4 linked regions of the Anolis sagrei genome follow. Each later gene encodes a partner of the first gene's protein in a complex. Links are inferred from orthologs where the notes say so. Each region holds a gene or a part of one and is shown in the gene's direction. Other genes may lie near its edges. The genes, in order: CRNKL1, RBM48, CRIPT and SNIP1.

Region 1 (7,142 bases):
ACAATATTTCTGAAGTCTAAAATCAGCACATTGACCTATATTTTCTCTAGAACATTAAAGAAATAAGATAAGAAGAAACTCTTGCTCTGACTCGTCAAGAGAAAGAGTGCCATGTTTGGACATCATGTTAAACAAATAAACAACAGGAAGCCCATGCTATGTTGAACTGCTCCTTCTTGCAATGGGACGAACCTTGTCTCTGACAGTTTGGGTACTTTTTAAAGATGTAGAATTGGAAACCACCCAGTGCACCAAGAGAGTTCTCTTTATTTATTTATTTATTTATTTACTTACTTATTTATTGCATTTATATACTGCTTTTCTCACCCCTGGGGAGACTCAAAGGAAAGGCAGGATTCAGTGCCAACATATATACAAAACCAAAGCATGCTAACTAAAACAATAGCATATAACTATACATTAAACAAAATATTTGCAGAAATATTTAAAAACTATTCAAGAAATTATTTCAAAAATATTGATTTAAATATTTGCACAAATATTCATTGAAATAATCACAAAAGGATGCAGAAATATTCACAAAAATATTCACAGAAATGATCATAAAATATATACAAAATATTGTCAGAAATATTCACTGAAATAATCACAAAAATATTGTCAGAAATATTCATTAACATAGCCACAAAAAGAGTTATAGAATTCGTAACATATTTGCAGAAATATTCACAAAATGTTCAACAAATTATTTCAAAAAATAATCATAAAAATATTCCCAGGAATTATTCACAAAAAATATTCACAAAATATGTTCAGAAAAATATATGCTGAAATATTTGGGAAAAATATTCTCAGAAATAATCAAAATACTCACAAATATATTTTCAGAAAAAAAATCCTAAAAATATTTGCAGAAATATTCATTAAAATGTTTGCTGAAATAATCATAAAAATATTCCCAAAAATGTATTCATAAAATATTTGCCTTCAGGCCTTGGGTTTGGGGAGGCAGGGGAGGAAGGGAGGAAGAATAGAAGGAAGGAAGGGCCCTTTAATATTATTATTATTATTATTATTTCCATTATTTTTGTGATTATTTTTCACCCTTTTATTCTTCTGTGATTTTCCCATGGGGACTTCAGAATTCTTAACCATGAGATTTGAGGTTGCACATCACTAGTTTTGATGAGTTTGTCGTAAAATGTGGTGTGAAAGCAATATTCTCATAAAAGCTTTGCAGAATTTTTTTTGGCCTAAAGCTAAGAGCGTTCATTTCTACTTGCCTTAAAGTCAGATTACTAAACACAAGCAATATTCCATCCCCTGACAGTAACAGCATTCAAGAATGCATTGTGCAAGGCAACAGCAATGACATTAAATGGAAATAAAAGACTTTCCTACATTTAGCCACTTGGATAAGACTATTAAATGTTATAAGCTGGACTTGAACTAATTTCTCAACACAAATACATAATAATGAAAAATATTAAGATTACATCATTCAAGAAAAATGCTCCCTACATACCGTACACCTAACATTATCATAATTTTCTTCTAAGTATGATTCCCAGTGAGCCTCATCAACAAAATCCCAATTGGGGTAGTCCACAAATGCAGCATGAGCAACAGGTATATTCTTCTCATTAATCACAGTCACTGCAAGGTTGGCTTTTTCTCTGTAAAACAAATGTTTAGATTTCATTGATGGAACAAGTAAAAATAAATTACAGGATTTTTAATTAGGATAAATAGTTACCATTGTGTTACTTACAAAAGATAAATAACATTGACTCTGCCAAAAAGTCTTTCTGTATCATATTTCATGTGACCAACAATATTAGGAATATCATGGGATTCTGTTCTTCTGGCACTGAGTGTGACAGTAGATTGAATAGACGATGATGTTAGACGTAATAATGAAGTCATATTCTAAACTGCAACACAAAGAGGAAAAATGCTTCTTCAGACAAATGAGTTATAGCCCAGGACAAAACTGAAAATAATGACAAAAATGTAGAAGTAATTTAAAATGACACCAATTTTTGCAGTATGGTCCTATGTATAAAACTGATTGGCTAAAATTATATGCACTTTCACATAACTTCTTTTACTATTACAAAATGAACCCAACTTATTAGATCAGGCAATGTGTGATTTATGCTTACACTTCAGGTTTCTAATAAATATGCATGGGACATTAATGACTTTCTACAATTGGTTTCCAGTTTTTCCAACCATACAAAAACAGTTGATATGTTATCAGCTATCACGGACATTGCAGTTTTGTAAGGAATGTCACTTTCTTCAATCCCTAGATTCCTCTATGACAGGAATTTAGGGTTAGCTGTTGAACTAGTTGTGCAGTTCAGTTGTACACATACTTGCATGACAGAAGTGTGCAGTGGGCCATGTTCTAGAGGCATTCTCTCCTGATGTTTTGCCTGCATCTATGGCAAGCATCCTCAGAGGTAGTGAGGTCTGATGGAACTAGCAAAAAGGGTTTATATATCTGTGGAATGACCAGAGTGGGACAAAGGACTCTTTTCTGCTGGAGCTAGGTGTGATTGTTTCAACTTACCACCTTGATTAGCATTTGATGGCCTGGCAGTGCCTGGGGCAATCTTTTGTTGAGAGGTGATTAGATGTCCCAGATTGCTTCCTCTCTGTTGTTTTGCTGTTTTAATTTTTGAGGTTTTTTAATACTGGTAGCCAGATTTTGTTCATTTTCATGGTTTCCTCCTTTCTGTTGAAATTGTCCACATGCTTGTGGATTTCAATGGCTTCTCTGTGTAGTCTGACATGGTGGTTGTGAGAGTGGTCCAGCATTTCTGTGTTCTCAAACAATATGCTGTGTCCAGGTTGGTTCATCAGGTGCTCTGCTATGGCTGATTTCTCTGGTTGAAGTAGTCTGCAGTGCCTTTCATGTTCCTTGATCTGTGTTTGGGCGCTGTGTTTGGTGGTCCCTATGTTGACTTGTCCACACCTGCATGGTACATGGTAGACTTCTGCAGAAGTGAGAGGATCCCTCTTGTCCTTTGCTGAACATAGCATTTGTTGGATTTTCAAACAACAGTCAGGCCAACAAATGCTAATCAAGGTGGTCAGTTGAAACATTCACACCTGGCTCCAACAGACAAGCAGGCCTGAAGCGAGGGGGTGGTTTTAGGGGTTCAACCCCCCCCCCCCCGAAATGTTTCAGATTTTTTTAAAAAACCTGGGTTACTCATGAATTTTAACTGGTTAACCAAATCCCCATGCTGTCTATGAGATGCAAAAAATTAAGAGTCCCTCCAGAACTGCAAGCACTATCTCAAGCAAATATTGACAATTTATTCACACTGTCATTACTTGCAGCAATAGCTGATGTAGTGAAGCAACCAAGTTGGGGGTGTGCATGTTGAATGCTCTCATTAAGGAGGCCAGACTTGGTGGAGGTGGTTGACAGGGGCGGAGCTGCAGGCTATTGAAGGCTGCTCTGCCCTCTGCTGTGCTCTTTGCTTCAGCGTGAGCTAGGAGGCAGGTTTCAACCCTCCCCACGGCCGAAAATTTCAAACCCCCCCCTGAAAATTTCAACCCCTCCTGAAATTTTTTTCTGGCTACGGCCCTGCAGACAAGAGTCCTTTGTCCCATCCTGGTCATTCCACAGATATGTAAACCCATTTTCCTAGTTCCAACAGACCTCACTACCTCTGAGGATGCTTGCCATAGATGCAGGAGAAACGTCAGGAGAAAATGCCTCTAGAACATGGCCATATAGCCCGAAAAAACCTACAACAACCCAGTGATTCCGGCCATGAAAGCTTTCGACAATACAAGGCCTAACCATCTTGTTCAATGGGCAGGGATTCTAGGGGCCCTTCCACACAGCCCTATATCCCAGAATATCAAGGCAGAAAATCCCGCAATATCTGCTTTGAACTGCGTTATCTGAGTCCACACTTAGATAAAGTGGGGTTTTGTGCCTTGATATTCTGGGATATAGGGCTGTGTGGAAGAGCCTTGAGTGTGGGCTGAGATAACCCACTTCAAAGCATCCCGCAGGACTCACCTTTCAGCAAGGGAGGCCTCTCAATGTGCTGCTGGGCTTCGAGCTCTGAATCAGGACCGCGGCGCGTGCCCGTTGCCAAGGCGACGGAGAGGTCGAGCTTGCCGGCCGCGCGGAATGATGGGAAGCGGAGGCGGAGCTTAGTAGAGACTTCGTCGGAAGCGCTGCGAAAATGGCGTCTACGGCGGCCGGGAAGCAGCGGATCCCCAAAGTAGCCAAGGTGAGGGCGCGAAGCAATGGCAGGGTCACTTATTTCTGTGTGCTTCTCTTCGGGGTTCAGTCCCCTCGGGACTTGACTTCGGAACAGAAAAGGAGTCAGCTTGGGCTGAGGGGGATAGTCGAGGGGGGGAAAGTGGCAGGGAAAGTGGGAGGCCGCGCTCTTCTGGGAGAGAGGGGCCTTTTCGCAGCACTCGGTTGAGCAGGGCCAGCTACTAAGGTTGCATCCAAAATGAAAAGAACTATTGTTTTAATAGTAACTAACCGTCCCCTTCCACGCGTTGCTGTGGCCCAATCTGTGTATATGTGTTTTGTGTGTGTATATATTTGTGAATATGTGTATATATGTGGTTTTGTGCATGTGTTGTAATGTAAATATGGGCTAAATTTCAATATTTCCATATGATTTGTTAACTTTTGCTGATCCCATACCTCCACAGGTAAAGAACAAAGCCCCTGCAGAAGTACAGATCACAGCAGAGCAGCTCTTAAGAGAAGCAAAGGAGAGAGAGCTTGAGCTACTCCCCCCACCCCCTCAACAGAAGATCACAGATGAAGAAGAACTAAATGATTATAAACTTCGCAAAAGAAAAGTAAGTAAATATTATGATCTACTGGTGTTGTGATAGCATTTATTTAAGCTTATATCACAGTTACTTAAAATACACATTATTTAAAATACACATTAACCTGTAAAGCAAAGCTCCTGGAGAATATGATTGGATGTAAAGAAAGTGAAATCTTGAAGTTTTGCACTATCCTAGGTCCGGTCTTCTTTATACCCTGATCATGCCCATCTTAGAATTTTGGTTATTGGTTTTTGTTGTGTATTGTTTGAGTGAGTTTTAATGCTGCTGTTTTATACCCTTATGTTTTATTTAATTGTGTTTTAGTTTATTGTTATGCTTTGCTATGTTTTATTTTAATTGTGGTTTTTGTTTTAATGGATTGTTTTGTTTTGATGTTCTGTGGACATTTTGTCCCATGTGCAAGCCGCCCCAAGTTCTTTAAGGGAGATGGAGGCGGGGCATAAAAATAAAGTTGTTGTTATTATTATTATTATCATTATCATCATCATCATCTTAAATAGCATCCTTGTAGCTGCTCATGAATATTATCGTAAGGCTATCATGAGCTTGGCACTTCACTGCAGGAAAGGACTGTTGACCTCGTTTCTGATTCTGAAAATTATTAATCTGAATCATGTCCTTAGAGGTATTCTGTTTTTGTTTATTCTGCTTAATACTTGTTTGAATACTTCTCTATGGGGAATAGAAAAGCACTAAACATAGTCTGTGTTGACATATTGTGTAGTGAAGTAGAGTTATTGTTGCTCTAAAAATAATTTTAGAAATTTGCCCCATGCTTTTTCTATAGACTTTTGAAGATAACATAAGAAAAAATCGGACAGTTATTAGCAACTGGATCAAGTACGCACAATGGGAGGAAAGCCTCAAAGAAATACAAAGGTAACTATTTCCCTTTGGGCATCATTTGCTGCATAAATAACCAATAGTGGTCATTACCTTAAGATTGGAATTTCAAATGCATTAATTTCAACCCTGTTTTGCTGTCAGGGCTCGTTCCATCTACGAGCGTGCTCTAGATGTGGACTACCGAAATGTCACCCTTTGGCTAAAGTATGCGGAGATGGAAATGAAGAACCGCCAAGTCAATCATTCTCGAAATATTTGGGACCGTGCCATCACAACTTTACCAAGAGTCAATCAGTTCTGGTAAGCTAAGCATGTTTGGTGCTTTTCAAACAGTAGTAAACTGAAATAAATATTCCTGTGAAAATGTATTTTTGCTGTATTTTTGTGTAAAATCACTTCATTAATTAGATGACAGAACTGCCCTTTCTTATGTTGCTTTTACTTGCATAGGTACAAATATACTTACATGGAAGAGATGTTGGGAAACATTGCTGGGACCCGCCAGGTGTTTGAACGCTGGATGGAGTGGCAGCCAGAGGAACAAGCTTGGCATTCCTTCATTAACTTTGAGCTTAGATACAAGGAGGTGGACAGAGCACGGGCTATTTATGAAAGATATATCCTTTTCAGTGTATTCCAGTGTCAACTTCATGATTTGTTCATATTTTTTCTTCCAATAACACTATATAACATGATTTTTGTTCCTGAATTATAAATGTTATTTCCTAATTGGTTCTATCATAAAAACATGGAAAAGGTTTGTTAAACAGCAAAAACTTTGTTTTTGTGGGACATCCTGCAACATATTTTTCTATAGTAGTAGTAGTAGTAGTAGTAATAATAATAATAATAATTTATTTGTAGTTTTTCAATGATTATCTGATAAGAATCTCAATGAGAAATAGATTTTTTTCCAAACTGGATTACATAGTATAATAAAATCTGCCTATTTGATAGTGTAGGAGACAGAAAATTAGCTATTTTAAAATATATCTTTATTGAAATCTTTCTATAACATGATTTAAAATATCAGAAAAGTAAAGAAAAGACAAGAAAAAGGTGGAGATAGAAGAGACAAGAGGAAAAAAAACTAGTGAAATATACCTTAAATTAAAAATAACAAAAAAATGAAAAAGAGAAATGTATCTTCTTGACTTCCAGAGTATCTTCTGTGAGGTGTCCTCCTTTTCCTTCTTCCTTACTTTTTCTCTCTTTTTTTCTTCCTTCATCATTCCATCTCCCCTTCATTCATTTGAGGTTGATTTTTAATTTCTATATTAACATCTTATATTTCTTTTCTTTTAGATATTCTGTAACTTTCTTCCAATTTGTCTCTTATTGGTTTACCTTTGTTTTGGTTTTTTTGATATCAAACAGAAAATTAGCTATTAAGGAGAAAAATATGAGCTGTGTCTCCTTGACTTCCCTTCCTTGCTTTCTTAAAAACCAACAAACAGTACAGTATTGTTTTTCATAATTCAGTC
Region 2 (7,766 bases), on another chromosome or scaffold:
GGAAAGAAGGAAGAAAGAGAAAGGGAGGTAAAGAAAAAGGGGGAAGGAAGGAAAGTTAGAGGAAGAAGAAAAGGAAAGAAAAGGAAAGATGGAAGGAAAGAAAAGAGAGACAGCAGAAGAGAAAGAAAAAGGGGGAAGGAAAGAGATAAGAGAAAGAAGAGGAGAAGGAAAGATGGGAAGGAAGGAAGGAAGGAAGGAAGGAAGGAAGGAGGGAGGGAGGGAGGGAGGGAGGGAGGGAGGGAGGGAGGGAGGTAAAGAAGGAGAGAAAGAGGGAAGATTGGCCACAGCAACACGTGGTGGGTCAAGGTTGTTATTTCTATTATTATTATTATTATGCTATTGTTCCTCTGAGACCCTTTTAGGGGGAATGGGAGAGGTGTCAGGTCCCGGAGGCAATGCATTGCATTATTGTTATTGTTATGATGGTGGTGAAATAAAAGGAAATAAAAAGTGAAAGAAGGAAGCAAACAGGGAGGGAAGAAAGGCAAAGGAAGAAAGGGGGAGGGAATGAAGGAAAGAGAGAAGGATGAAACCAAGTAGTGAAAGAAGGAAAGAAAGAAAGAGGTAGAGAAGGAAGAAAGGAGAGAAAGGGGGAGGAAAAGGGGGAAGGAATAGGTAGGGACCTCTCTTTCATAATAGTCCAGATATCTACCTCAACTTTGATAAGTTTTACTATAGGCCACAGCAACGCGTGGCAGGGCACAGCTAGTGTACCTATAAAGGTGAGGAGAGGGGAATGTAGTCACTTTTGCTCATATAGGGCAAACACTCCCCCTGCTGGTTAGACACCTCTGACTTCTTCCTGGTAGAAACTGAATTAGTACACAATCACATAGTAATAGAACAAGCGCTACAATGAATGGCATAGTTCTGTACATTTCCTTAGATGGGATACACAATGTCCTTAAAAGGGAATTTCCACTAGGAGGCAAATGGGCGGTAACATTTAAAATTAACAAAATCCACATGCAATGGCACAATCAGGATTCTAAATCACAACAACAACAACAACAACAACAACAACAATTTTATTCTTGTAATATTCTAAATTTCAAACCTGTTGTCCATCTTTGATGCCAAGTTTCTCTGCTAGCTGTCTGTTTATTTCAACAATGTTGCCACTACACTGACGACAATGCCTGATTTCTGTCCAGCCCAGGAACACAGTCTGATTGTCCCAGGAAGTTTTCACAGCTTGATCCTGTTAATTCCATTTAAAATGAGAGAAAGGAGAGGGAGTAACAGCATGCATCACTCATTATTCTTTGTCTGACATCAACAAGTGGCTACAGATACAGTACTTTTGTAACTTGAGTCTATGAATGCTTATCGTAAGGGCATTAGCCTCCTAGCTCCACGCTCAGATTGTCACACTTTCCCTTGGCTCTATGTAGGAATTTGTTGCACTTAGGAATCATTAGTCCGAACCCATCATTTGTTGTTCAGCCATGATGTTGTTTGATTATGATGTTTTTATTTGTTTTTGCTGTTGTTGATGATTATATTTATATGCTTGTTCTAACCTGTTTTGGTGGGCATGTCCCCTTGTGCACTGCCTCGAGTCCCTTCAGGGCGATGGAGTTATTACTTTTATTATTATTATTATTATTATTATTATTATTATCTATAGAGTATTAACATTTCCCAGATGTTAATGTTTCAGAAGAGTTTCTGCTTCCTTGTTTTCTCTGAACCTTTTCCTTGCAGATTCTTTCTGTCAAAAAGATCCCCCATAAGTGTTTTCTTTGCTGTTTTAATTGTGATATTTTACTTGTATATTGCTTTCCCAGATGCAGCGTAACAGGCAAATATGGAACTATGGAATGACTTGACGATGGGACTGGAAAATGACTTTAGTAAGAAGATGCTGATGATTTATGTTTTTATTGCTTTTATATGGTTTTTATATTATATGCTAAATGTTTTTAACTGTATTTTACGTCTGGTGGGGCATCGAATTATTGCCGACTGCAAACCGCCTTGAGTCACTTTCGGGCTGAGAAGGGCAGTATACAAATCATAGAATCATAAAGTCACAGTGTTGGAAGAGACCTCGTGGGTCATCCAGCCCAACCCCCTGCCAAGAAGCAGGAAAATAGCATTCAAAGAACCCCCGACAGATGGCCATCCAGCCTGTTTAAAAGCCTCCAAAGAAGAAACCACCATGACACTCCGGGGCAGAGAGTTCCACTGCTGAACAGCTTTCACCGTAAATAAATAAATAAATAAATGAGACAGTGAAACGCTGCCCCTCTTTTCTCACTCTCATGCAGTCCATAGGCACCAAGGGACATTTTTAAATTCTTCCAGTCTCTAAAATTTTAGGGATCATAAACTACTATTGGTTAGTTTGGTTGCAACAGTGCACTTGAAACTTTGTTGTGGGATTGGGAGCAGAAAACCATCTCACTTCATGATCCTTTGTTTTGGACTAAGAGGAGGGCGACTAAAATTATCAAGGGTCTAAAGAACAAACCCTATGAGGAGTGGCTTAAAGAGCTGGGCATGTTTAGCCTTCAGAAGAGAAGGCTAAGAGGTGACATGATGACCATGTATAAATAAGTGAGGGAAGTCATAGGGAGGAGGGAGCAAGCTTGTTTTCCGCTGTCCTGTAGACTAGGATGTGGAACAATGGCGGAAAGGAGATTCCACCTGAACATTAGGAAGACCTTTCTGACTGTGAGAGCTGTTCAGCAGTGGAACTCTCTGCCCCAGAGTGTGGTGGAGGCACCTTCTTTGAAGACTTTCAAGCAGAGACTGGATAGCCATCTGTTGGGGGGCAGGGGGGTGGACTGGGTGGCCCATGAGGTCTCTTCCAACTCTATGATTCTATGACTTTACACTGAAATAATAACAATATTATAGAACTAGTGTGGCCTGTTTTTGGAAATGTTAGAGAATTGCATTGCTCTGTGCAGTACTGTCATGAATGACTTTTCAATAACTTTGAAGCATAGGTTCTTTTTATTGCAATTTCCAGTGTAAGAAGGTATATCAGATTACAGAAAAACATTTAGACAAAGAATGACATTAGACATACAGATTCTATGCAACTACATTGGATTCATAACTACATGGCTAACAAACAAAGGGAATTACATTTTCACTCAGCATTCACACCACATGCACACACATTCATCCTCATGCACCCAAATATTACCATATAATTTTCTCCCTCCTTGGAGAAGCACCTGTTAGGCCAGACCCTGCTTTCCTGCAGCCTGCCAATACATAGTTCCATAACCGCATTGAGTCGCCGATTTAGGCTGAAAAATGCGGTATAAAAATAAAGCAAATAAATAATAAATAACACCAAAACGTCTTTTCCTAAGAACAATGCCAAGAACCAGATCTCTGTTTTCAATACAGCAGAACCTGCCTCCCTGCACAAAACCTAAGACTCCAAAAGCACACTTCTTCCTCTTCCCTTGAGAAAGAAGCCCCAAAGTGACCAGACTGCTCCCGTTCAAATCTGCCACTATCCATTGGTTCACTATCTCTCTCCTTCCCATGGAGCAGAGCACAGCGGGTGAACCAGATTCGTCAGGTTGGTCACAATTTGATCATTATTAGACTGAGTCTTTTGTAGGAATATTCTGTTGATGTAGTCCCAAAGTTGTAAATTAATGATAGATGTCTTCCATCCTGGATCCATCTCAGTTTCCTGGCCAGATGTTGACTCTTCTTGATTGGCGATGGCAACCACAGGGCTTGTGTTGAATTCCTTCTTAACATAAGGAAGATTGCAAACATTTCCTTTATCAATGTCCCAGTTCTTATCAGGGTTTCTCACTAGCAAGTCCAGCAAGCAAGTAGTTAGTCATTGCAGGCCTGGGTCTTTTACTGGTATTTCCAAAATTATTAACTCCATACATCCTTCCATTCATTCCCACACATCATATTAAATTCATATTTGTCAAATCTGCACATTGAATTTCTTATGACAGTACAACTAGTAAAGCATGAACGTAGAATACTCTTAAGGCGGGCCTGGGCCAACTTGGGCCCTTGGGGTTAGCGGCTGAGGGGGGAAAGGAAAGGGCCTGAGGCTGTTAGGAATGGTGGGAGTTGAAGTCCAAAACACCCAAGGGCCCAAGTTGGCCCAAGCCTGCTAAAGAGTTGCTATAAATAGGAAACCAAAGCTCACTACGAGGAGGCAAGGACCACGGCTAGGCCTTTCCTGTTGCCAGGCAACGAGATGCCAGGCTAGGAAGGAGGCTGCCCAAAAGAGAGGCCCGGATGTCACCTCAGGGACACGGAAAGCGAAGTCCCGGATGCAGCCTCCCCGTCCCTGCCCTCCTGTACCTGCTGCAGACGGAGGCTGGAAGCCAAGCCAGGCGGCAGGTGCAGGAAGCAGTCCCGGGCGCCGCTCAAGGAGACAGTGGCGGCGGCGGCGGCCACCCCAGGCCCGCCCGCCCCCCACATGGCGGCCTCCAAGGCGGGCTGGGTGTCACACGAGTGGGCCGCCGAGCTCCTCTTCCGGCTTCTCCGCTCAGGCCAATGACATCCAGAGGACTCCTTCCAGCCCGTCGCTTGTGATTGGCTTTGCTCCGCTCCGGGGGAGGAGCCAATGAAAGCGGGCCATCCGATTGGTGGTCTGTGACAGAATGATGTTTACAACTTGCCTCCCGTTCCTCGCTTGTGATTGGCTGGGGCGCTTCACCCCCCCATCTAATCCTTTCCTCCAATACCGCTCGCCTCTGGGGCGGGATCAACGCAAGCTCATCACTGGATTGGTTGTTGTTGACGGGCGGAAGAAGCCGGAGCATGAGCGGGTCGGAGGGAAAAAATGGCGACTGAGAAGAGCAGAGGCGGTGAAGTCGGGGGCGCCCACCAGCACCACGCGCAGCTGGGCATCTGCGCTTCGCGGGCCAAGTATCGCGAGGGGCGCCGTCCCCGCGCTGTGAAGGTGAAACGCCATCCATTCTACGCGCAGCACAGCCACACCGAAGCATTGGAGCGGTTTGGCACCGCTTTCGTTGGCATGGCTCAAGGCGATGGGATCATGGGAGTTGTAGTTGGCACTAGAATTGAATTTTATCTCTCACACAAGACTACAAACCCCAGAATTCTGTAGCACTAAGCCATGGGGGTTAAAGCGGTGTCAAACTGTTATATCTCTGCAGTATGCTTGCGCCCCTAATTTCTAAATGTAGTGTTTACTAATCCCTGGCCTTCCCAAGTTAGAATCATAGAGTTGGAAGAGGCCTCCTGGGCCATCCAGTCCAACCCCCTGCCAAGAAGCAGGAATATTGCATTCAAAGCACCCCCGACAGATGGCCATCTAGCCTCTGTTTAAAAGCTTCCAAAGAAGGAGCCTCCACCACACTCTGGGGCAGAGAGTTCCACTGCTGAACGGCTCTCACAGTCAGGAAGTTCTTCCTCATGTTCAGATGGAATCTCCTTTCTTGTAGCTTGAAGCCATTGTTCCGCGTCCTAGTCTCCAGGGCAGCAGAAAACAAGTTCGCTTCCTCCTCCCTATGACTTCATCTCACATATTTATACATGGCTATCATGTCTCCTCTCAGCCTTCTCTTCTTAAGGCTAAACATGCCCAGCTCTTTAAGCCACTCCTCATAGGGCTTGTTCTCCAGAACCTTGATCATTTTAGTCGCCCTCCTCTGGACACATTCCAGGTTGTTAATATCTCTCTTCAATATCTCCCAGAACTGGACACAGTGTTCCAGATGTTGTCTGACCAAGGGAGAATAGCATTACTTCACTGGATCTAGACACTATAGGAAAGGGCCTGAGGCTTTAGGAACTGTGGGAGTTGGACTCCAAAATACCCACAGGGCCAAAGTTTGCCCAGGTCTTCTAAAGAGTTGCTATAAGTGGGAAACGAAAGGTCACTACGAGAAGGCAAGGATAACTGCTAGGCCCTTCCTGTTGCCATGGCAACAAGATGCCAGGCTAGGAAGGAGGCTGCCCAAAAGTTTGCCCATGCCTGGTCTTAGGTCTGGGTATGAATCATGTCCACCGTCTTCACCTTAGCATTAGGATTCAGTGCTATCTGTGTTTTGGTGACTAGCTGTGAGCTGTATCACACTATATGATATTTATTGTTGAAAGTTTTCATGGGTGGAATCACTGGGTTGTTGTTGGTTTTTTCCGGCTATATGGCCATGTTCTAGAAGCATTCCCTCCTGATGTTTCGCCTGCATCTATGGCAAGCATCCTCAGAGGTTGTGAGGTCTGTTGGAACTAGGATATTTATTTATCATATCAAAAGCAAACCGAGGGTACAGCTGTAATGTAATTAAAAAAACAACAGAAGAGTTAAAAAACTTGGCATTATACTGTTAGAGACCCTAATTTGGGACTTAATACTAAGGTCTAGGCCACGGGAGGCGCAAGGAAAGAGGCAGTCCCAGGAGGAAGATCAAAAGCAAAGTTTTATTCTTTCATGATCATGAAGGAGTCGGACAGTCGTGTAGGACACGCGCAGGCGCCCACACTTCATAAGGACTGCCGCGCCTCCTTGACAAAAGCAAAGCTTTTATATAGTCTGGTAAACAAGAGTATTTTTGTCATGGAAAGTTACCCGGTGGCGCAGTGGGTTAAACCCCTGTGCCGGCAGGACTGAAGACCGACAGGTCGCAGGTTCGAATCCAGGGAGAGGCAGATGAGCTCCCTCTGTCGGCTCCAGCTCCTCATGCAGGGACATGAGAGAAGCCTCCCACAAGGAGGATAAAAACATCAAATCATCTGGGCGTCCCCTGGGCAACGTCCTTGCAGACGGCCAATTCTCTCACACCAGAAGTGACTTGCAGTTTCTCAAGTCGCTCCTGACATGACAAACAAACAAACAAAAAGGTGTCTTTACTTCTGCTCCTCTTAGTCTCTCTCCTATCAATAGTTCAAAACATAGGTTTGTGCACTTTGCCTGGTTTCCTGTTGTTCTCAAGGTGTTAGGCTGTCAAAACCACAATTTGTTCTCTACTTGCAGACTTCGGTGTCGCGCCAAACCGCAAACCAATTTCCTATATAGCTGAGCATTTAGCAACTTAATAGTTTTCTTATACTTATTCCTCCTTCAATACTAAATGTCCTTTGACCAGTAGCTGGCCACTTGGAGTACCTCTAGTGTTGCTGTAAAAAGATCCTCCTTTGTGCGTGGGGCAGGACTCAGGCTGCATTGTAATACATGGTCTGTGCTTTGCTCTTCTCCGCACTCGCATGTCATGAACTCCACTTTGTAGCCCCATCTCTTAAGGTTGGCTCTGCACCTCGTGCCAGAGCGCAGTCTGTTCAGTGCCTTCCAGGTTGCCTAATCTTCTGTGTGCCCAGGGGTGAAGTCTCTCATTGGGTATCAGCGGAGGCTTGAGATTCTGGATCTTAGCCTGCCACTTTTGGACTCTTGATTGCTGAAGTGTTCCTGCAAGTATCTCTGTAGATCTTAAAAATTTTCCTTGATTTAGCGTTGGCGTGCTAGTTGATATCTGAACAGAGGATGAGCTGGAGATGTCACTGCCTTGGTCCTTTCATTACTGGCTGCTACTTCCCAGCAGATACGAGATGGTAAAGTACCAGCTAAGCAGTGTAATTTCTCCAGCAGTTCTGGGTGTAGGCGTCCTGTGATAATGCAGCACGTTTCATTAAGAGCCACATCTACTGTTTTAACGTGGTGTGATATATTCCACACTGGGCATGCATATTCAGCAGCAAAGCACAAGGCCATGAGACATGGGAGAAGCCTCCCCGCAGGATTGGGTTTCATAGGGTATAAGTATTACAATTAAAGTGTAATCTTGGTGCTAAATAAT
Region 3 (7,033 bases), on another chromosome or scaffold:
CCGAAAGGAGTTTTTTTTTAGTTCAAAACCCTAAATGATTTGTATAATGAAAGATATGTGTGCCAAGTTTGGTTCAGGTCAACCAAGCCACATTGGAGCTTTTATGATACCAGCCAACCATCATACATACCCAGTACCCGCATGCTTTGACCTATGTATATATCCATCATCATCATCATCATCATCATCATAACTTTAAAAACCAAAAAGTAAATCACAACACTGTTCCTAAGTATTTACCATGAGGAACATGAGAGAAGACAACACAAAATATACTAACAACACAAAACCCACAATTAATAAGAATAAGAATAAGAATAATAAAAACAAAAATTAACATTTGGCCTAATAAGAAAGAAAATACGACAAAACAGCACAAAATATGATAGGGGCATAACATCCAATAATAATAATAATAATAATAATAATAATTTAAAAATCAAAAATTAGCATTTGATCTAACAATAAAGAATATAAGATATGATGGCCTAAAATACAATAAGCACATAAAATTCACAACATATATTGATCCAATTTATTTATGTTAAATTTCAATTGTTATGTCTTACTTTTATTTCTTTTGTTATACATTTGTATTGTTGCAATTTTTGTTGTATATTTTATGCTGCACTGGTTTGTATTGTTGTCTTGTAAGATGCCCTGAGTCCCTCTGGGGAGATGGGGTGGGATAAAATATAGTTGTTGTTGTTGTTGTTTAATATATTATATTATTAGCATAGCACAATATTAGTATTTTAATTATTTATTGCATTTATAAATAATTATATATTATTTTATTGTACTACAACTATAGCGCAATATTATTAGTAATATCATATGCAATATATGATATACAATTTTTACATTACCATATATTATATTGTACTATATGCATACACACATACACATTTTCATTTTTTATTATGATTATATATAATGCAAGGGTTGGATGAAAAGTAATGCCTCCACCTTCGCTACTTGTGTTTGGATGGGAATATTTTAATAAATCAAACGCAGATATAATCCTTAGAATGTGCTTTTTAACTACCACTATTCACTTTTCCACATAATCACCAGACAATTGGATACATTTCTGCCAACGATGAACATAATTTCTGAAGCCGTCACGGAAGAAGTCGACGCTCTGTTTCCGCAACCAGCGTCTCACATTCTCTCATTCTGGGTAGCCATTGTGCACAGATCTTCCGATAGCCTAGCAAAGCAATAATGTGACCCACACGTCCTTGTGAAATGCCGATTATGCTTGAAATTTTTCTCTGAGTGATATGACAATCATCCTGAATCAATCTGTCAACCTTTTCTAGTCACCTCACTACCTCTGAGGATGCTTGCCATAGATGCAGGCGAAACGTCAGGAGAGAATGCCTCTAGAACATGGCCATATAGCCCTAAAAAACTTACAACAACCTAGTGATTCTGGCCATGAAAGCCTTCGACAATACATGTCAACCTTTTGCTTGTGAAACTCGGTGGTTGCTGTCACAGGACGTCCAAATCTTTCTTTGTCATGCAAGTCAGATGTTCCCACCTCAACATCTTTAAACTTGGGTTGTTGTAGTTTTTTCAGGCTATATGGCCATGGTCTAGAGGCATTCTCTCCTGACGTTTCACCTGCATCTATGGCAAGCATCCTCAGAGGTAGTGAGGTCTTTAAACTTATTCACCCAACGATGCACAGTACTCACATCAACACAATCACCATAAACAGCTTGCATTTTGGGGGTGACACCTTCTGCTGTCAAAAATTCAATGACTGCATGGTGCTTAAGTCGCATTGACCGACTGTCTGCGCAGGGTTCCATACTTTGCACTTTAACGTTCAATGCTAAGGCTTCCTGCCAAAATGGAACTGCAAGGGAGGGTCTACTGAACAAACCAGTACCTGCCACATACCATGACTACCATCTGTTGAGTTATGAAGGTGGAGGCATTACTTTTCATTCAACCCTCGTATATTAGTAGTATTTTTTTGTTGTTGTTCATTCATTCAGTCGTTTCCGACTCTTCGTGACTTCATGGACCAGCCCACGTCAGAGCTCCCTCTCGGTCGTCACCACCCCCAGCTCAATCCAGTCACTTCAAGGATACCGTCCATCCCTTGGTCGGCCCCTCTTCCTTTTTCCTTCCATTTTCCCCAGCATAATTGTCTTCTCTAAGCTTTCCTTTCTTCTCATGATGTGGCCAAAGTACTTCAACTTGGCTTCTACTATTCTTCCCTCCAATGAGCAGTCAGGCTTTATTTCTTGAAGTTTGGACTGGTTGGATCTTCTCGCTGTCCAAGGTACTCTCACCACTTTCCTCCAACACCACAGTTCAAAAGCGTCTATCTTCCCTCGCTCAGCCTTCCCTATATAGCAGTGTTTCTCAACCTGGGGGTCGGGACCCCAGTGGGGGTCGCGAGGGGGTGTCAGAGGGGTCGTCAAAGACCATCAGAAAATATAGTATTTTCTGTTGGTCATGGGGGTTCTGTGTGGAAAGTTTGGTCCAATTCTATCATTGGTGGGGTTCAGAATGTTATTTCATTGTGGGTGAACTATAAATCCCAACAACTACAACTCCCAAATGTCAAAGTCTATTTTCTCCAAACTCTACCAGTGTTCACATTTGGGCATATTGAGTATTTGTGCCAAGTTTGATCCAGATCCATCATTACTTGAGTCCACAGTCTGGATATAGGTGAACTACAACTCCAAAAACTCAAGGTCAATGTCCACCAGACTTTCCCAATATTTTCTCTTGGTCATGGGAATTCTGTGTGCCATGTTTGATTTAATTCCATCATTGATGGCGTTCAGAAGGCTCTTTGATTTAAGGTGAACTATAAATCCCAGCAACTCCAGCATTACCAAATGACAAAATCAATCACCCCCAACCCCACCAGTATTCAAATTTTGGGCGTATCGGGTATTTGTGCCAAATTTGGTCCAGTGACTGAAAATACATCCTGCATATCAGATATTTACATTACAATTCATAACAGTATCAAAATTACAGTTATGAAGTAGCAACGAAAATAACGTTATGGTTGGGGGTCACCACAACATGAGGACCTGTACTAAGGGGTCACGGCATTAGGAAGGTTGAGAACCACTGCTATATAGGGTCCAGCTCTCACATCTGTAGGTGACTACGGGGAATACAATTGCTTTTACTATGCGGATCTTTGTTGCCAGTGTGATGTCTCTACTCTTCACTATTTTATCAAGATTGGTCATTGCTCTCCTCCCAAGAAGTAAGTGTCTCCTGATTTCCTGGCTGTAGTCTGCGTCTGAAGTAATCTTTGCACCTAGAAATACAAAGTCTGTCACGGCCTCCACGTTTACTCCCTCTATTTCCCAGTTGTCAATCATTCTTGTTGCCATAATCTTGGGTTTTTTTATGTTTAGCTGCAACCCAGCTTTTGCACTTTCTTCTTTCACCTTGATTAGAAGGCTCCTCAGCTCCTCCTCGCTTTTGGCCATCAAAGTGGTGTCATCTGCATATCTGAGGTTGTTAATGTTTCTTCCAGCAATTTTCACCTCAGCCTTGCATTTGTTAAGCCCCGCACATCGCATGATGTGTTCTGCATACAAGTTGCATTATTAGTAGTATTACATTACAATAAAAATCCAGTGAGAGGGTGCTTCCAGACTGTATAATGTATGCAGTTGGACACCATTTGAACTGGCCATAGAATCCTGGGAGTTGTAGTTTCAAAAGGCCTACAACTCTCAGGATTCAGTAGCACTGAGCCAGGGCAGTCCAAGTGGTGTCAAGAGTACATTAATTCTATAGTTCCAGGGAGTGGAGGGGAAAGGGTAAGCTCACCTGTCTGCCTTCAGCTGCTAGTGGGCGGGGCTTAGTGGGCCGAATCCAAGAGGGCGCCTCCAAGCCCCTTTCCCAACCACCACCATCACTGAGGAGAAGCCATTGACGTCATCGCGCTCCACGCCCTGCGCGCGCCCTACGTGCCTTGCGTCCTGCCTTCTCCCCGCCCCTTAGGCGTTCTCAACCAATACGACGAAGGCGGAAGTGAATAGCGGAGGCAGGAAGCCGGAAGTGCGAAGGGATTGTATTGTTGTCGGAGACGCTGCTGTTGGCTTCGCGAGTGGGGTTCGCCATGGTCTGCGAAAAGTGTGAGTGGAAAAGACAGGGATATATAGTTGTGAAAGAACTATATAATAGAGTGTTGTTATTGTTATTGTCTTAATGGAGACAGTTTTCAAGCCCGTACACCAGGCCTGCGCAAACTTGGGCCTTCAGGGTGTTTTGGACTTCAACTCCCAGAATTCCTAACAGCCTACCGGTTGGGAGTTGAAGTCCAAAACACCCTGAAGGCCCAGGTTTGCCCAGGCCTGCACTAAACAGATATATCCCCTTTGGGGTGAGAAGGGCGGTAAGTGCAGTGTGCAAGCAATCTTAAAGTCTAATAAAGTGCTTCTGGGACATGTTGTTGGAGTTTTCCTATTCTGGAAAGGCACATCGGAACAGCCAAGTCTTCAAGTTCTTCCTAAAGACTGCCAACATAGGGGCCTGTCTAATATCTTTGGGGAGGGTGTTCCAGAGTCGGGGGGCCACCACAGAAAACGTCCTGTCTCGCATCCCCACCAGACGCGCCTGCGACGCAGGTGGAATCGTGAGCAGGGCTTCTCCGGATGAGCGAAGAGAACGCGTGGGTTCATAAACGGAGATGCGTATATAGACCCACAGCCAGTACACCGATCTTGGAAGACAATCCTACTCGGACAACAAGAAGAAGATCATATAGTGTTACCTGAAGCGGAGTTGGTAGATCAAAAGACAACCTGGCAAAATGGCACTACCTAGAAGAATCCTCCACTTTGTGCGATTGTGGAGCAGAACAAACAACTCCGTATCTGTATGCTTGCCCACAATGCCCCGCCTCATGCACAGCGGAAGAACTATTTAAATCGACAGACAGTGTGGTTGTTGTTTCCCGGTTTTGATCTACAATGATTTAACTGCTTGTGCTCTCTTTGTTTTATCAGTTTTATACTTATTTATTTGTGGTATGCTTTTGACATGAAATAAAACAAACCATAAACCCTACATTCCAAAAGGATTTCTCACTGAATATACACTTGGAAAGAACCTTTTCCAATTTGCACAATTTTTTTAGTAACTCATAACTCTGGAACTCCCTCCCTAAAGAACTAAAAATGCCCCCCTTAAAAACCTATTTATGCACTTTAGCATATGGAGTGGAGGCAGATTAGTATATCTTAATTGTATACTCTCATTTAGATACTGAAAATCTCCCTCAGTCCTGTTGGTAGCAGTTAACCACTCCATATTTTAATGCATTTTAGCTACTCAGTTTTACTCGTATTATGTTGGTAAATGTGTGTAATGTGATATATTATGTTTATTTAAGTTCTTTTTGGGTAGTATTGGTTAGTTTTTATTAGTTTATATTGATGTTTTATTTATTATGCTGATTGATTTGCTGTTTGTTTTATTATGGCATTGAATGTTTGCCACTTTTGATGGAAACCGCCCTGAGTCCCCTCAGGGAGAAAGGGCGGGTTACAAATATATTATTATTATTATTATTATTATTATTATAAACCAGGAAAACATTATGAGATTCTTATAACAATATCACATATTGTTAATACAATATTAACAAGGGATAGGGGCTTGAAGAGAAATGGAAGGTGGACGTGGGCTTTATATGTTTGACTGTATTCTCCTAAGTAAGTCCGTTTGGAATTGCAATCTTATGTATAATAACTTGGCAGTACATTCACTAATCTGAATAATATTTCCTTTTGAGTAAATATGAGTAACACTCATGCTATGCATCCTTCACATCCCATTATAGCATCGTATGATACTAGAATTGAAAGAATGAACTACTTTGTTTTACTAGTATCGCCAGGGGGGTAAACAACATTTCTGATGTGTTTTCATTATAAAACTGTTCAGAGTGTCACAATCTTTGCTTTGTATTTTTGCACTTTTCAATAGGTGAGAGAAAACTGGGTACTGTCATTACACCTGATACATGGAAAGATGGCGCAAGAAACACAACAGGTAGTTCCAAAACATGTGTCACTACATAGATATGTGTTCCTGGTGTTCATTTAAGACAGTCTCTTATTTTTCTGTTGAGATGAATATGGCTAGAAAATTAAATATTAGTTCAGAGAAAGAGAAAAGCTTGAAAACCTCAGACCCTACACTGATCAGCTCATATAATGCGGTTTAACTTCATTGCACTGCATTATGTGAGTTTATACTGACATATAATCCAATTTCAAACTGCATTATATAGCAGTGTAGATGAGGCCATAGTCTCAGTAAGGAGTTTATGTGTCTGGCTGACTATCTTTTTGAAAGTTACTAAAACTCAGTTCAAAATAAAATTGCTTTCTAATATTAATTTTCTCTTCAGTTGTTTAGTGATTGCATATTACACAATCACCATATTTTGTAGAATCCTTATGGGCATACATCAGTCCTTGATTGCTTTTATGTCTGTTTGAATCACATTGTGTGTATCCTTGATAGCTTATTATTATGTTTGTTTATACTAGGGGTCCTCAAACTTTTTAAACCGAGGGCCAGGTCACAGTCCCTCAAACTGTTGGAGGGCCGGATTATAATTTGAAAAAAACATGAATGGATTCCTATGCACACTGCACATATCTTATTCGTCGTGCAAAAAACACTTTAAAACAATACAATAATTAAAATGAAGAACAATGTTAACAAATATAAACTTATTAGTATTTCAATGGGAAGCGTGGGCCTGCTTTTGGCTGATGAGATAGGATTGTCATTGTTGTGTGCTTTCAAATAAATTCAAACTTAGGTTGACCCTGAGCGAAGGCTGGGTAAATGACCTTGGAGGGCCGTATCCGGCCCTCGGGCCTTAGTTTGAGGACTCCTGGTTTATACCCTGCTTTTTCTCTCCACAAGGAGACTCAAAACAGCTAAGTACTGATGCAGCTTGCTTAAGAAACTTTTTAACTGGGTAATGTGGGAATGATCAAATTTGGTGTTGATG
Region 4 (7,831 bases), on another chromosome or scaffold:
TACTCCCCTCTCTTTAACCTATTCTTAAATTTCTTGTAAAATCCACTTTTCAGATCTTAGCCCCACCACTTTCCCCCTTTCCCTCCCTGCCACCTCCTTACCAAAGCACTGGGAGTAGAGCTCCCTGCGGACGGGGCAGATGCCGGTCTCGCGGGCCTGGCGTTGCTGCAGCTTGAGGTCCAGCTGTTCCTGGAGGTGGACCACGTCCATACGGGTGCTGGGCGTACTGGACACCTGCTGCGTCCACAGCTGGTTCCCCTCTGCCCATTCTCTGCCGGGGTGGAGTGGGGTGAAGAGCCAGTGGGTCAGTCCCTGGTAGGCAGTCCTTCTGCCTCTCCCCTCCTCCGCCCAGGCTCCCAAGGGGCCCCAGTGCTGGCTCACCGTGGCGGGAGGATGGCGTTGAGGATCTCATCAGCGTGTTTCCCGGCCTCAAGGGATGGGGCAGGGGGCTTGCCCTTTGGAGGTGGGATCGGCGGTGGAGCGGGGCCTTGGGCGGAGGGGGGCGGCGTCGGGAGTGGAGGCGCAGGAGGTGGTGGTGGTGGAATCGGAGCAGTGGCCTTCAGCGGATGGGCCTAAGGGGCAGGCAGAGAAACAGAGACAGTCCTGTCCACCAAATTACTATTAAACAGCCACACACTGTATTGTAATCCAAAGCAGTCTGAGGTCATTCAATGAAGGCTGAGATACACGAGTAGTCCAAAGTCCTTTCCAAAATGTTCAAAGCCAAATTGTCTCACCAATACCAAGGCTGCAAGCTAAAACATATTCCGCACACTAACTTCCAAAGTACAGTCAATCTTTCAAGGGTTCAAGGCACAAGACATATGATGCTCAAGGCTGCTACTGAGAACCAATGAACTGATGTTGCTACCCACAGCTAAATATTCCAGACCTCAGCTATTTATGCAGGTTTCTCAAGTGCTCCCACTTGAGAGTGGTAAGACTTTCATTGTCCACTTGGGTTGCTGTTTATTCTGTTCTGAAGCAGTGACTGCTTCTTTGATCTTTGGCTGCACCTGCTTTTGCTCCCTAAAGATAAAGTAAAGTTTTCCCCTTGACATTAAGTCTAGTTGTGTCTGGCTCTGGAGGGTGGTGCTCATTTCTAAGCCAAAGAGCTGGTGTTTTCTATAAACACCTCCAAGGTCATGTGGCCGGCATGACTAAATAGAGCGTTGTTACCTTGCCACTGGAGTGGTACCTATTGATCTACTCACATTTGCATATTTTCTAACTGCTAGGTTGACAGAAGTTAGGGCTAACAGCGGGAGCTCATCTCATTCTCTGGATGTGAACTGCGAATCTTGAGATCAGCAAGTTCAGCAGCTCAGCGATTTAACCCGCCACCCTATTAAAGCCCAATTTGGAGGTGGGAGAAGTAACCCTTCTTCCAACTCCTCCTTTGTAGTAACCATGGCAGAGTTAGCGAGAGAGGACAACCTTTGCCGACCACTTCTATTCTTCTCTTCCCCTTTCTTCGCACCATCCATCCATTCTCCTTCCTTATTCCGTTTCCTTCCTTTTCTTCCCCGCCCCCTTATTATCCCCCTTCTCTCTATTCTCTTTCCATTCCCTGGGAGGGAAAAGGGAAAAGGGGGGGGGGGGAGAAGAATCTTTTTCTCCCCCTTTCCCTCTTTTCCTTCCCTTCTTTTCCTCCTTATTATTCCCTCCCTCCTTTATGTCTTCCTTCCCATTTCTCCCCTTCCCTCCCTTTCTTTTCCTTCCTTCATACCATCCATCCATCTTCCTTCCCTCCCTTCTTTCCTCCAATATCCCTTTGTTTCCTTACTATAATCCTTTCCCATTCTTTCTCCTCCTTTCTTTCTTCCTTTTCCCTTCCCTTGTTTTCTCCTTTATTATTATTACCTCTCCTTCATTTTCTGTCTTCCCTCCTTCCCTATTCATGAACCTTCCCTCCCTTTCTTCTCCTTCCTTAATACCATCCATCAATCCATCCTTACTCATTTCCTTTCTTCCCCCTTCCCTTAATATTATTATTCCCTTTCTCTTTCCTTCCTTCCTATCTTATTAAGTGATTTATTTATTTATGACATTTATATGCCGCCCTTCTCACCCGAAGGGGACTCAGAGCGCCTTACAAGATAGATCTATACACACACACACACACACACACACACACACACACACACACATTAGGCTTGGGTAACCACAGAAAAATTTGGTTCTAAACTCGTTTCGTTTTTAGGGGGGCCCTTGCGTTTCGTTTTTTTTAAAGAATTCCGAAATTTTACTTTAAAAAAGTTCAAAATATACGAAATTTCGTAAAATTACGAATCGTTAATGGCGGACGCGATTGCGCAATATGCTAAAAAACCCTCCAAATGGGACAGGGGGAACTTCTGAAGCTTCCCTCTCCCTCTGTTGTTGACTGTTGGTGTGATAATTTATTTTTTATCACTGATAAAACAAACAACTATAAAACTTGCACCAGACATATGGAAATAATTACGAAACAATTTCGAAACAATTTTGAACCAATTACGAAACAATTACGAAACAATACGAAATAAATTGGAAAAATTGTTTCGATTTTTAATTACTCCTCACAGTAGTCCTGCATGGCTCAATATTGGATCGTAAGCTAATTTAAATACGAATTAATAACGAATTACGAAATTAACGAACGAAACCGCCCAAGCCTAATATACATACATACATTATAGTATTAGCATAGTACAATATAGGTATTATATACAGGGTTAGTCAAAATGCATAGGCCAATAAGCCATTCAATTGAATGGCTTATTGGCCTATGCATTTTGACTAACCCTGTATTACTATATTGTACTATACCATTATTAGTAATGTATTGTCGAAGGCTTTCATGGCCGGAATCACTGGGTTGTTGTAGGATTTTTTGGGATGTATGGCCATGGTCTAGAGGCATTCTCTCCTGGCGTTTCGCCTGCATCTATGGCAAGCATCCTCAGAGGTAGTGAGGTCTGTTGGAACTAGGAAAAAGGGTTTATATATCTGTGGAATGACCAGGGTGAGACAAAAAACTCTTGTCTGCTGGAACTAGGTGGGAATGTTTCAACTGACCACCTTGATTAGCATATAATGGCCTGACAGTGCCTGGAGCAATCTTTTGTTGAGACCTCACTACCTCTGAGGATGCTTGCCATAGATGCAGGCAAAACGTCAGGAGAGAATGCCTCTAGACCATGGCCATACAGCCCAAAAAAACCTACAACAACCCATTATAAGTAACTGTCCCCTGCCACGCGTCGCTTTGGCCCAGTCTGTTGATCTGGAAAATAAAGGGAATGAGAAAGTTTTGGTTTCTAATATATGTAATGTCTTTCTGCTTGTGGGTAAACAGTATTTCTTGTTGTTTCTTTGTCAGTGTTGATGTCGAGATTGTCTGGTTTGCCTACTCTGGAACATACAACATATCACAGTCCTTCTTTTGGGTCCCTTTCAAATCTATGATACTATATCTCTGTGTGTGAATCATATCTATCTATCTATTTATCTATGGCTGGATGGCTCTTTGTCAGGAGGACTTTGATTACGTTTTCTTGCCCTGATGAAGGGAGTTGGATTGGATGGCCTTAAGTATTTTCTGTTGGTCATGGGGATTCTGTGTGGCAAGTTTGCCCCGATTCTGTCATTTGTGGGGTTCAGAATGCCCTTTGATTGTAGGTGAACTATAAATCCCAGTAACTACAACTCCCAAATGTCAAGGTCTATTTCCCCCAAACTCCATCTGTGTTCATATTTGGACATATTGAGAGCTTGTGCCAAGTTTGGTCCAGATCCATCATTGTTTGAGTCCACAGTGGTCTCTGGATGTAGGTGAACTACAACCCCCCAACTCAAGGTCAATGCCCACCAAACCCTTCCAGTATTTTCCGTTGGTCATGGGAGTTCTGTGTGCCAAGCTTGGTTCAATTCCATCGTTGATGGAGTTCAGAATGCTCTTTGATTGTAGGTGAACTATAAATCCCAGTAACTACAACTCCCAAATGTCAAGGTCTATTTCCCCCAAACTCCATCTGTGTTCATATTTGGGCATATTGTGTGTTTGTGCCAAGTTTGGTCCAGATCCATCATTGTTTGAGTCCACAGTGGTCTCTGGATGTAGGTGAACTACAACCCCCCAACTCAAGGTCAATGCCCACCAAACCCTTCCAGTATTTTCCGTTGGTCAAGGGAGTCCTGTGTGCCAAGTGTGGTTCAATTCCATCGTTGATGGAGTTCAGAATGCTCTTTGATTGTAGTTGAACTATAAATCCCAGGAACTACAACTCCCAAATGACAAAATCATAATTTTTTGAGTGATGGTCACTCCTTGTGTTGTGAGAAGTTTTGTTGCCAAATTTGGTGTGATTTCGTTCATTGGTTCTTTTGTTTTTAAGGAACTCATTATGCACAGAGCATTTATATATATATAGATTATTATTAGTAGTATTATATTGTATTACATTATAATATTATAAATATTATATGTATATACACTATATTATATTGTTCCCTTTTGTCCCCCCCTCCCTTCCTCCTTTTCTTCCTTCCTATCCTAGCTTAGCCTCCCTCTTCCCTTCCACTTCCTCCTTCCCTTTTTCCGGGGCCTACTGACCTTGGGCGAGCGCTTCTCGGTGTTGCGGCTCACCAGCACCGGCGTGTCATAGCGGAGCAGCGAGTCCGCCGGGGGAATCATGGTGGCGGCGGGCCTGTTGTGCCCTCACCCGTCGGGCCTGTTGTGCCGCGGTTGCCATGGCGATCTTCGAGCTCAGGAGGGCATTGCCGTGGCGCACGTCCTGACGTCACCGCCGTGAGCCGGCCTCACGAAGGGGAAAAGGGCGCATGCGCATCACTTCTGAGAGCCGGAACCGGAATCTGAGAGTGAGAGAAAGGCAAAGAGGAGCCCGGCGCTTTCACAACAGTCGCCATGGAGGAGGAGGCCGACCGCCGTCGTCGACGCCGCCACCACCGGAAGCGGAGCCCGTCCGGAGAGGGAAGAGAAGGAGGAGGGAGTCGCTCTCCGCCGAAGGAGAAGCGGAAGAAAAGGAGCCGGAGCCCCCGCCGAAGCCTCGTCAGAGTCAAGCAGGTACGAGGCGGCCCCGCCTGGGCCTTTCTGGGCGGCGGGCAGGCCGGAGCCTCTGACTGTATTTGGTGGTGGTGTTGTTCACCCTTCTCATCCTGAAGGGGACTCAGAGCGGCTTACAAGTTACATGTACATACAATATATTATATTATTAGCACAACACAATATTAGGGGTTTTTTTTGTTTATGTGATTTATATGATTTGCATTTTATTGATTGTTTATTGATGTTGTGTTTATTGTTTTGTTTGATGTACTTTGGGCTTGGCCTCATGTAAGCCGCATCAGGTCCCTTGGGGAGATGTTTTTTTTTTTTTGTCGTGTCAGGAGAGACTTGAGAAACTGCAAGTCGCTTCTGGTGTGAGAGAATTGGCCGTCTGCAAGGACATTGCCCAGGGGACGCCCGGATGATTTGATGTTTTATCAACCTTGTGGGAGGCTTCTCTCATGTCCCCGCATGAGGAGCTGGAGCTGATAGAGGGAGCTCATCCGCCTCTCCCCTGATTCGAACCTGCGACCTGTCGGTCTTCAGTCCTGCCGGCACAGGGCTTTAACCCACTGCGCCACCAGGGGAGATGGTAGCGGGGTACAAATAAAGTTTATTATTATTGTCGAAGGCTTTCATGGCCGGAATCACTCAGTTCTTGTGGGTTTTTTCGGGCTATATGGCCATGTTCTAGAGGCATTTCTCCTGACGTTTCGCCTGCATCTATGGCAAGCATCCTCAGAAGTGAGGTCTGTTGGAGCTGAGAAAAAAGGGGTTTATATATCTGTGGAATGACCAGGGTGAGACAAAGGGCTTTTGTAAGTTGGGCTAGGTGTGAATCTAAAAAAAAAAAAAAATTCTAAAAAAAAATTTCTAAAATTGCAACAGTAAAAACAGCAGAGAGAAAAATAGGCAGGGACATCTAATCACCCTTTAAGAAGAGTTTGCTCCAGGCACAGTCAGCCCATTGTATGCTAATCAAGGTGGTCGTTTGAAAGATTCACACCTAGCCCAATTTACAAAAGCCCTTTGTCTCACCCTGGTCATTCCACAGATATATAAACCCCTTTTTTCCCAGCTCCAGACCTCACCTCTGAGGATGCTTGCCATAGATGCAGGCGAAACGTCAGGAGAAATGCCTCTAGAACATGGCCATATAGCCCGAAAAAACCCACAAGAACTGAGATTATTATTATTATTATTATTATTATTATTAGTATTATACATTACTATATTGTACTATACCACTATACTATAATTTATTTATTTATTTATTTCACAGTTTTCTATACCGAGCTTCTCAACCTCATTGAGGGACTCAGCCCGGTTTCCAGCCATAAAAAACATCTACACTCATTAAAATATCATATATCACAATTACAAAAACAACTTTAAAAACACAATATATAAAACTACAGTGGTCAGTCGTCCTATTAAGATGGATCTACATCAACTTCCAGCCAGGGTCCTATGGTGTTGCCTCATTCATTGAAGGCCTGACTCCACAGCCACGTCTTCACCCGTTTCCTAAATGTTAGGATGGATGGGGCGGTTCTGGCCTCCAGAGGGAGAGAGTTCCAGAGTCGCGGGGCCACTATAAAATTACACGTAATATAAAATATGTAATTATATTGTATTATTGGCAGTAGTATATTGTATTACAATATTGTTGTATTGGTCTCGGCCTATTGTAAGCCGCACCGAGTCCTTTGGGAGATGGTAGCGGGGTATAAATAAAAGTTTATTATTATTATTATTATTACTACATATAATAATACGGCTGCTGGTCCATCTCCAAGCCCAATTCAAAATACTGGTTCTGACCTATAAAGCTCTATATGGTTCTGGCCCAGCTTACTTGTCCAAACGCATCCACCCCTACTTCCCACCTTGTAACCTAAGATCATCCAGGGAGGCCCTGTTCTCGCTCCTGTCAACAGCACAAATGCCCCTGGCAGGGACGAGAGACAAGGCCTTCTCGGTGGTGGCCCCCCACCTATGGAACATATTCCCAACTGAGGTAAGATTGGCCACCTCCCTCCTAGCTGTTCAAAAGAAATTAAAGGCATGGTTTTGGGACCAGGCTTTTGGACAATAGATGCAAGCAGCACTTTAAAGGAATGTGACTGGAATGACGATATGGCTGATGAGACTGCCTTATTGTTTTAATGATGGCTTATGTATTGTTAATTATGCTCTTACGTTTAATTGTGGTTTTAATTACTGTAATTTGTTATGTAATGGCTTCGTAATGGGGCCCATTGTAAGCCGTTCTGAGTCCTCCTTCAGGAGTTGAGAAGGACGGGATAAAAATGCGAGAAATAAATAACAATAATAATAATAATAAAAACTTTATTTGTACCCCGCTACCATCTCCCCAAGGGACTCGATGCGGCTTACATGAGGCCGAGCCCACAATACAACAATAAAAACAATAGCAACAGTAATACAAACAATAAATAAAACTCATTAACAGAAAATAGCAATAAACATTAACAATAACACAACGACGTTTAAAATAAATTACATTGTAATATTATCAGTATAATGTGCACATGCAATATATTATATTAGCATAGCACAATATTGGTATTATCTGTCACTGTATTGTACTATACCACTATACTGTAATATTGTGAGGAATATTTCATGTACTATTAAATATGTAATTATATTGTAGTATTATTTGTATAATATTGTACTACATTATAATACCATTAATATTATATGTACATACAATGTATGATATTATTAGCATAACACAATTTTGTTGTTGTAAAT

The links.
Region 2: CRNKL1 (region 1) and RBM48 share a complex: the UniProt entries of both Homo sapiens proteins name them as parts of the minor spliceosome. The link is inferred for Anolis sagrei from reciprocal best matches to the Homo sapiens genes CRNKL1 and RBM48.
Region 3: CRNKL1 (region 1) and CRIPT share a complex: the UniProt entries of both Homo sapiens proteins name them as parts of the minor spliceosome. The link is inferred for Anolis sagrei from reciprocal best matches to the Homo sapiens genes CRNKL1 and CRIPT.
Region 4: CRNKL1 (region 1) and SNIP1 share a complex: the UniProt entries of both Homo sapiens proteins name them as parts of the minor spliceosome. The link is inferred for Anolis sagrei from reciprocal best matches to the Homo sapiens genes CRNKL1 and SNIP1.

Annotation. Positions count from the first base shown.
Region 1 is NC_090024.1:139,014,225-139,021,366, reverse strand, and holds the start of CRNKL1 (crooked neck-like protein 1), read left to right. Parts: upstream 1-4,123; 5' UTR 4,124-4,178; coding exon 4,179-4,226; intron 4,227-4,662; coding exon 4,663-4,815; intron 4,816-5,599; coding exon 5,600-5,691; intron 5,692-5,799; coding exon 5,800-5,958; intron 5,959-6,108; coding exon 6,109-6,275; intron 6,276-7,142. Other genes in the region: CFAP61 (cilia- and flagella-associated protein 61), read right to left, coding at 1,487-1,637, 1,733-1,887. UniProt on the Homo sapiens protein: Involved in pre-mRNA splicing process. As a component of the minor spliceosome, involved in the splicing of U12-type introns in pre-mRNAs.
Region 2 is NC_090026.1:102,564,787-102,572,552, reverse strand, and holds the start of RBM48 (RNA-binding protein 48), read left to right. Parts: upstream 1-4,760; 5' UTR 4,761-4,789; coding exon 4,790-4,909; intron 4,910-7,766. Other genes in the region: peroxisomal ATPase PEX1, read right to left, coding at 1,058-1,201, 4,306-4,425. UniProt on the Homo sapiens protein: As a component of the minor spliceosome, involved in the splicing of U12-type introns in pre-mRNAs.
Region 3 is NC_090021.1:26,646,280-26,653,312, reverse strand, and holds the start of CRIPT (cysteine-rich PDZ-binding protein), read left to right. Parts: upstream 1-4,017; 5' UTR 4,018-4,120; coding exon 4,121-4,136; intron 4,137-5,991; coding exon 5,992-6,057; intron 6,058-7,033. UniProt on the Homo sapiens protein: As a component of the minor spliceosome, involved in the splicing of U12-type introns in pre-mRNAs. Involved in the cytoskeletal anchoring of DLG4 in excitatory synapses.
Region 4 is NC_090034.1:86,233,622-86,241,452, reverse strand, and holds the start of SNIP1 (smad nuclear-interacting protein 1), read left to right. Parts: upstream 1-4,817; 5' UTR 4,818-4,909; coding exon 4,910-5,068; intron 5,069-7,831. Other genes in the region: DNALI1 (axonemal dynein light intermediate polypeptide 1), read right to left, coding at 102-271, 382-572, 4,598-4,678. UniProt on the Homo sapiens protein: Required for pre-mRNA splicing as component of the spliceosome. As a component of the minor spliceosome, involved in the splicing of U12-type introns in pre-mRNAs. Down-regulates NF-kappa-B signaling by competing with RELA for CREBBP/EP300 binding.